2 linked regions of the Drosophila melanogaster genome follow. The protein of the gene in region 2 interacts with the protein of the main gene of each other region in a pairwise test. Each region holds a gene or a part of one and is shown on either strand. Other genes may lie near its edges.

Region 1 (4,004 bases), on a different chromosome or scaffold from region 2:
GGTGAGTCCTGGCGCACTTAACACAAATTGAACTCTCTAGTAACTCGTTTTAAATTGTGCAGCTTTACAAGAAGATAGATGGCCACGAAATCTCCTGGGCCCTCGGCTGTGCATACAACGTTCTGACTAGCGACGAGAAATTCAGTAATTCCTAATGCTCCTCCATTAGTCCGTAGTTGAAGACATAAATTTTAAACGGATTGTTAGCTGAAATTGTTTATAGAGTGCCTTAGACGTGCATCGAGTATACTACAATCACAACACACCGCACACACCGCACACACCACACACACACAGAACACACACTCGGACATTGTCCACAGCATATGTATGATGTGGTCGATTAATATTTGTTTGTGCTCTGCAAGATTCGTTTCAATTGCCTCTAATTGAGCTAACCCATACACGGTGACTACACTTAGCGTTTAGTTTGTAATTCCAATTTTGTGTGATTCGCCATATTTGTAATGCAGTTTTTTGCCAACTTCTTAACTAATTAGTCCCTACACTCGTATCGTATCCTCATGTACATAAATTTACACAATGATATGTATTTACCTAATATGTATAACGACCTAGACTACTAGCCGCAAACATTTCACACGGTTTTTCACACATGCAAATGTTAGTTTAGTTATCTTTGCAAATAAATCAAATGTTAACTGATCTGAATTAAAGTAAAATATTTGTTTATTGCTGATTTTCGTTCGCTATACAAAATATTCTATATTTAATAATAATAGAGGGGTAAATGCATAACGAAGAAAATGAGTAAAGAAAGGGTGTTCCTGCTATGGAATTTTGGTCTTTTTACAAATAAAACTAAGAAACGCTAGCGTGGGAATACGTCAGAGGTCTGCTGCACTACACATTGGCTACGCACTGGCTGCATGTGGAATCGATGAATCCCCTCATGGCCTCGGCAATAGTTGCGGCTTGATGCCCAGCCGGTCGATGATGTACTGCGGCATGCAGAGCGTTGGGTTGATGGCCTTCAGGCCGGAATGTCCCAGTAGCGAGAGTCCGCCGATGCCGAACAGCGTGTGGAATATGTCCGGCATGTTGCCAGTTCTGTCCGAGAAGCCACCGGTCTCCGTGTCCTGGCACGACAGTATGAACTGCTGCAGCTTCTCCGAGCTGATCCAGTGCAGGCGGCCCATGATGGTGAGCGAGGCGAGCACCCACCACGAATAGCATACATCCGGCAGCTTCTCGGGCCGTCCATTTAGCCCACCGGAGGGCAGCTGCCGCTCGCAGAGCCACCAGCCCAGTTTGTCCACGTCGAGCAGATGCAGGCGATGGGTCAGCGAGAAGAAGCCGACGCAGCAGTAGATGAGCCCTGCGGGTTATATGTAGATTAGTTTTTGGATAACATATATGAGCACCAGCTTTATGGCTAGCTATTTTTCTAGTATACTTTTTGTTCCCAGAAGATTAATAAGTTTAAATTGAAATGATATTGACTGTGAGGGCGAAAGCATGACAGGCGATGTGGTGACTCACCCGCATGCGACTCGGCGCCCGGCTTGGAACCGAATCCACCGTCCGTCTGATTGCAGCACGAGAGCACGAACTTGACCGCCTTCTCCACGTCGATGGTCTGCTCCATGCGGCCGAGCAGCGTTAGGGAGGCCACCGCACAGAAGCTGAACCTGGTGTCCACCTCGCCCCACTTGTCGCCAAAGAAGCTGCCGTCGGGCTGCTGCAGTCCGACCACGAATCGGACCACCGCCTCGCGGTCGATCTCCTCGAGGGCGTCGTAGGTGCAGAGGATCTGGATGGCCGACAGGGTGTACAGCAGGTGGGGATCGTGGCCCTCGCAGGGTGCGAATCCGCCCGTGTTCGGACACTGACAACGCTTCACAAACTCGATGATGGACTTGCGCTCCAATCGCTCCAGCTGGCCCATAATGTCCAGGGCAGTGGTGCCCCAATAGATGCCCGACATGCGCAGAAACTCGGTCATGCAGTACTCGTAGTCGTCCTCCTGCTTCCCATGGTTCTCGATGTACTCCACATGCTTCCAGAACTGCAGCTTCTGGCCGCCGCCATCCGCATCACCACCACCGCCGCTGTCGCCACCGCCATTTGAGGGCTTTACGAAGGTCGTGAAGTCCATCGCTGATTGGGCTCAATTGAATGAGTATCGGGTGGCTGGCAGATCCTCTTCGGCGCGCTGTTTCGCTTGATTAACTCTATTAATTGGCAGGAATAGTGCTGCGAGCAAACAAATAACTCAGTGAATCCAATCGAGCACAGCTGATTCATCTGCGCGATGGTTGGCAACGCGGCAGTGGCTTATCAAACAGCTGATCGACGCAGGGGCGTAGTGTGGAGGGGTTTACTATAACCCCATCCAAAAATAAAAATTAAACGTACTTAAATTTCAAATAGCTAGTTTATTTTATTCAAAACACATGCACACTATTGCACCAGCAGGCTGGACTGCGGATCCGGCTCGTCGATGCTTAGGGAGACTATGTGCTGGCCGGGAACCATGACGTTGCCCAGCAGGCGCGGCTCCTGGCCCTCCACCAAGTACTCGGCGCACATGGACAGCACGATGTTGGCGTCGCGGTCCGTGCAGTTGAAGAATCCCACCAGCACGCGTCCGTCCGTAATCACGATCCGAAGAACTCGACCCAGCCACTTCTGGAGCTTCCTGCGTCCCGGCGTCAAACTGGCATCGTTCATCTGGTGCGGGGCGTTCGTTGTGATGCGGAAGGGCTCCGGTGGTGTGCATGCGGGCGGGGGCATCACCTGCTGGCCAGTGATGCTCAGTTCTGTCATGGTTATATCCTCTTTGCTCAATTTAAACAAATAAATGCAAGAAATTCTCAGCTTTTTTTGTGTTTACACTGCGCGTATGTGTGATATAGTGTGCGTGTGTATGAGTAATGGCCAGGGATGCAAGCACGTGTAAGTGGTTCGGTTCACTGGTTCACTTTTTGAGCTCATAAATTCGAAAATATACGAAACACTCGTTTGCTTGTGTCAAAGAAAATACTTTAGATTTAAAACACTTAAAGGAAATGATTGCAAAATGAATGCACACAATGAGCCTTCTTTTTAACATCTTCATACGAAAACTAGTTCTTTTTATATTTGCATCCCTGGTCGAGCTGAGCTTATAAAGGTAACGGGCACCCTAGCCCAGTCAGCTGATTTGCATTTTGCGGCAAATTTTGTTTCGCATTTATCCAAAAAGCTCGTAATTCGTCTCTTGATTTTTTCAAATATCCACCATGTCCGGAAAGGCTTTAAACATTGGCGATCAGTTCCCAAACTTCACGGCTGAGACCAGCGAGGGTCGAATCGATTTCTACGACTGGATGCAGGACAGCTGGGCCATTCTGTTCTCCCATCCGGCGGATTTTACGCCGGTTTGCACCACGGAATTGTCCCGGGTGGCGGCATTGATTCCGGAATTCCAAAAGCGTGGAGTCAAGCCAATTGCACTGTCCTGCGACACCGTGGAGTCGCACAAGGGTTGGATCGAGGACATCAAGAGCTTTGGCAGTGGGTTTGGTCACTGATTTCTGGACAGGAATCGCTTCTAATTGGCGTTTCTGTTCGCAGAGCTGAGCTCCTTTGACTATCCCATCATTGCGGACGACAAAAGGGAACTGGCGCTCAAGTTTAATATGCTGGACAAGGACGAGATCAATGCCGAGGGCATTCCCCTCACCTGTCGCGCCGTTTTCGTGGTGGACGACAAGAAGAAGCTTCGCCTGTCCATCCTGTATCCTGCCACCACTGGGCGCAACTTTGAGTGGGTATTCCAATATCTAGCATTCATCATTATCTATAAAGTAATGCTGTAATGCACTTTAGCAAACAATCGTGCACTTAATCGCATTAGCAGATAATTATTTAATGAAGTATTATTGCTGAAAACTAAGTACTAACCTTGCATATAATAATGGAAGTTAAATAGGAACGATTTCAAGGTCAATTAATCCGACAAATTACATTTAACTATATCCTTTGCAGTGAAATCCTTC
Region 2 (4,846 bases):
TGTACACATGTATCCACAAACGGAACCCCGTTCAGCAAACTAAAAAAAAAAATCGAATAATATACTTTGTTTATTACTTTTGATTTCTCGGTTGACTGGAATGCACTTTTTTTCGACGAGTCGGAAACAAATTGTTTGTAAGCCTTCAAAGAAGCCAGCACTTTCGCCACTCAACACTCCACAAAACACCGCCGCACGCGAACTGCTCCAGAAACACACTGAAAAGCTGGTAGGGATTACGGCCTGGCGATTCTGAGTCCGCTGCTGAAATTGTTGTCATCTCAGGCCTTCGGCAGCATCTCGCACATCCCACCTCGCATCCCAGGCATGCGCAATCGATACTCGTTACCCCACAATCCCCAGTTCACTCGGGGAAGGGATGGGATGTCATGGCTGTGGCTGCACCGCCACAAAACGATACCATCCCATATTACAACTGCTCTGCGCAAAAGAAACCCCCATACAATGCATTTTGAGTGCTCATTACGGCCATTACCGAATCGATATTCTCGAAATGAACGAGCCGAACTGGCTCGACGTTCAAAACTGCATAAAAAAGGCGTCGTCTATGATTTGGATTTATTTAAAAACTAACTGCAATTGGCTAACAACAAACACGTGCATGGCATGGCGATAATCGGTTAAGTTTTACTTCTGAACAAAGGGCTAACAAATCGTGCCCGGATCAGATTAAGAACAGAAACGAACAGGTAACGCTAATAGATATCGAAATGCAATTGGCGGACCAGTGAGATCCGTTGTCATATCGGGCTAGTTGAACTTTGTCTTTGGATCGCACATTTATAGTAGAGTAGAATAGAGGCATTTCCGTTTCCAAATCCGTTTTGAATCGTCTTCCTTTCTAGTATTTTACTCTTTAACAATTTGTCTTGCACAAGTTTCTGTATTTTTGGGACGATAATTAGATAGGAAATAAAACACACGTCTTTATACACTTGCCACATTTCAGAACGGATGGGCAAACGGAAAGGCCGGGAGTGAGTAATTCTATTGGGGTAGATTGATTTGAGCTTTATCAGGTCGCGCTGTCTAGTCCGCTGGATATCCAAAGCTGAGGTGAAGATTGCACCACCGCCGGTGCTTACCACCCAGGGTGGACTCCTCGCGCCGTACGGCACTTAAAAACGGATTATCTTCAAAGTCAAAGTTGCCCAAATGCGAACGCAGATCGCCTGACGCCACTGGTAACAGTTGGCCATTGGGCAAGCCCATTTGCAGGCGCACGCACTGCTCCACGATGAACTTGAGTGCCGCACGGCGATGCAGCTCGAAGCAATCCCGCGATCCGTACATCAAGCGCTGCTCGGCACACAGACGCATATCGTTGGCGGCAACGTTGCAGCAGTAAAGAAATGATATTAGCCTTTGCTTGCTCACGGAACTCAGATCCACATGTGGTAGCAAGAGACCCAGCAGATCCTCAGCGTTGGCTTCACATTCCAGGCCATAGCTTGTCATTAGATGCTGCAGACTGGCCAACGTAGACGAACCACTGGCTCCGGAATCCTTGGGAAGGGCAAAACTGAGCTCATATGCACGACTCAGGAGCACTTGGCGGTAGTGGTAGCAGCTGTAGTCACTGATGTGCTTCCGCATAAACTTCTCCGTGCGTAGCAGTTCCGATTGCAGCAGGCATGGGCCGTTCTGAAGGATCCACTGGCGGTGCGACCAGGCGTGATAGTTGCTGGCGCATCTATCGGCGGCCCTTTCGCATATCCCGATCTCATTGGGCCAGTCAATAGCATCGGCACCTGGAAATAATGGAATGAAATGGGATCCCCAGTTGCCGACGTCCACTTACTTTGAAATGAGTACAGCCAACGGCGGTAGGCGAATGCTTCATTGGACTTCGGTTTGATTGAGAGCACGAGTGCGGAGAACTGCAGCTCCTTGTTGATGCTCAGCCGATTCTTTTGCACCAGCTGACGGCGGATGTGCCAAAAGGTGGTCACATCGGGATTAATCAGCAGAGCCACGTTTAGGTATTTGGCCAGGGAGTCGCTCTGCTGCTGCTGCTGCAGCGTCCGCAGCTGTTGCGCCGTGGTTTGACGGCGATGGGAGATGAGGGTGCGGTGGGCGTGGTCGTAGACATGCTGGGCACACCACGATTCCAGGCCCAGATTGTGCTCCACATGCACAACCGGCGATTTGTTGCAGTTGGCTTCTTTGGGTATAATTTCAAAGGAGGCGCTGGTGGAGAAAAGAACAATATATTCGGACATCAAGGCTTGCTTTCATTGCTAACAGTCTGATTAGATCTATAGTAGAACTAAATGCTGGACTCACAGATCCTGATCCTTGAGGAACACCGCATTGATGTCCCTGATGATCTTCTCGCAGAGCACCTTTTTCTCGTTGCGTTCCTCCTCCATGGAATTTGAGTATAGTCCGAACGTGGAATTTCAATGGGGATGTGGTTTTTGCTTCCTCGGGGATCTCGCTTCCGTTCCGTTCGATTCGAGGGTCTCAGGCACATTGATTGCCTCCAATTAATATGAACATGCTCAATGTCTCCGGTTAATTAAGATTTGGAAAGGGGAGGAAGAGGAGAAGATGGCGGAGGCTGGAACCCTGTCTACGCGACTATGGAACCCCCAAAGGCGGCCGCATCACAACAAATAAATTTCAATTAAGCCGGGGCCTGGACACGAGATCTAGCCTTTATTATTATTATTATTTCAGTGCCCAGTGCGAGGGGCTGTCAATCTGGTTCACCCCAAAGCGCGGTTCTCCGGCGGATCGGTCCGCAAGCTCGGAAATGTGTTCCCTTTTTTTGGCGACGGTGAGCATATGTTTGTTTGCAAACATGTGTTTGGTGTGCACAACAACAGAGGAGGCACTTGCCACGATAACCTACTAACCGCGACGTCAGAACCAACTGTCGGGAAAATGGCTATTGAAAGCAGGCATTAGCTGGGACATTAGAATTTTTCAATTTTTTTTTCCTTTTTTCTACAGTCAGTATTATCAGTACATTTGCTACATTCATATATTTTTTCAGTATTAACGGAATTATTTCTTAAGTATATGCGTTTAATAAACAGTTGATAGCAGAATGATTAAGATATTTAAGAAAATTTATTGAATTCAATGAGCACCTCCGTATTTGTGTGCACGCGGATTTGGCTAAAAACCAAAATGTTTGCCACCACTGTTACATTCCGCTGGTCACACTCTTCCCATCTAACACGTGCGCGCCCGAAAGAGATTTAGTAGAAATACACAGACAGGATGCAGAACTCCTTTCTTCCACTGAACACACGGCGTTTTCGACAGCGGGCCCAGGTGGAAACGCCGGATACGGTGTACTGGGACCGACTGGCGGTGAGTTGTATAGGACTAGGCAGAGAGGCTCGGCAACCAAATCATTGTTTCCCCTCTGCATTCCACAGAAACCAGAACTACTCAAGGAGCACAACACCATCGATTATTTGGACTTCAGTCCAAGCGATCCTGACAACTTTGTTGTGACCTGTTCGGTGCGCGTTCAGATTTACAACCTGGTGACCATGCTTGTGGTAAAGAACCTTTCCCGATTCCAAAAGACCGCATACGGCGCCACCTTCCGGCAGGATGGTCGACTCCTGGCCGCCGGCGACGAGGAGGGCCATGTCAAGCTATTCGACACCACCAGTCGCAACATCTTGCGTTTGTTCAAGGGACACACGGCACCAGTACACCGCACCTTCTTTACGGCGGACAAGCTGCAGCTAGCCAGTTTTGGAGACGACAAGTCGGTCCGTCTGTGGGACGTGGCAAACGAGAAGGTGGTGCAAACGTACGAGGACACGCACACCGACTACGTTCGTGCAGGCGCCATGCATCCGCAGGCAGGGCATATGTTCGTCTCCGGCGGCTACGATGGCAAGATCAAACTGTACGATACGAGAGCGGAAACGGCGGTGCAGCGCACCTTAGATCACGGAGCTCCGGTGGAGTCCATGTTGTTCCTTCCGAACGGCTCTATTTTCGTCAGCGCCGGCGGCAGCCAGGTGCGCGTATGGGATCTCATCAGCGGCTGCCGTCTGCTCACCATGATGTCGCAGCATCACAAAACAGTAACTTGTCTGCGACTGGGATCCGATGGCAGGAGATTGCTCTCAGGCGGGCTCGATAGGCACGTGAAAATCTACGATGTGAGCACCTACAAAACAGTGCACACATTGACTTATCCCAATGCGGTGGTCAGCATGGCTGTTGCTGACGGAGATCAAGCAGTTGTGGCTGGAATGGTCGATGGTCTAGTCTCCATTCGTCGCATGATGGTAGACAGCAAGCCCAGTCATTTGAAAAAGATTCGTGCGGATCGCGCTCGAAAGTACTTCGTGAGTACGAAACGCACGAACAACACCCAAGAGGTTGATCACACCATCAAGGACCACGTCAAGGGGCCTGGATTGAAATCCTACGATGTGCACTTGCGCCAGTTTAACCACAAGAAGGCTTTGGACGACGTGATGAATGCGCAGAAGATGCAATACCAGCCGGAGCTCATTGTGGCTGTCATCACGGACCTTCTGCACCGTGGATCACTGGGAAAAGCCCTCACGGGTCGTCATGAGGCAGCGCTTGTCCGATTCATCGACTTCATTTGCAACCACTTGGGCGAGGTGCGATTCATGCGCCCGCTGATGATGGCCGCGAGCACGGTCCTTGATGTCTTCGAGCAACGATTGGTGGCCTACAGCCAGAAGCTGATGAAAGCCTTGCAACGATTGTCACTTGCAATGCAGGAGGAGGTGAGGCTCACCGCCGAGCTGATGCGGATGAAGGGTGCTGTGGATATGCTCATTGGGATTTCAATGGACAATAGCGAGGTAGCCCA

The links. Proteins that work in one complex are often made in the same cells at the same time.
Region 1: the proteins of temp (region 2) and RabGGTb interact in a two-hybrid assay, tested with the Drosophila melanogaster proteins (2 studies listed by BioGRID).

What each region holds. Positions count from the first base shown.
Region 1 is NT_033779.5:2,877,379-2,881,382, reverse strand, and holds RabGGTb (Rab geranylgeranyltransferase subunit beta), read right to left. Parts: upstream 2,272-4,004; 5' UTR 2,120-2,271; coding exon 1,504-2,119; intron 1,340-1,503; coding exon 912-1,339; 3' UTR 675-911; downstream 1-674. Other genes in the region: NTPase, read left to right, coding at 1-1, 63-155; Sbat (sabbat), read right to left, coding at 2,425-2,790; Prx6a (peroxiredoxin 6a), read left to right, coding at 3,246-3,519, 3,580-3,772, 3,994-4,004.
Region 2 is NC_004354.4:2,259,644-2,264,489, forward strand, and holds temp (tempura), read right to left. Parts: upstream 2,873-4,846; 5' UTR 2,394-2,872; coding exon 2,308-2,393; intron 2,212-2,307; coding exon 1,823-2,211; intron 1,773-1,822; coding exon 1,051-1,772; 3' UTR 564-1,050; downstream 1-563. Other genes in the region: CG3071 (uncharacterized protein), read left to right, coding at 3,253-3,345, 3,414-4,846.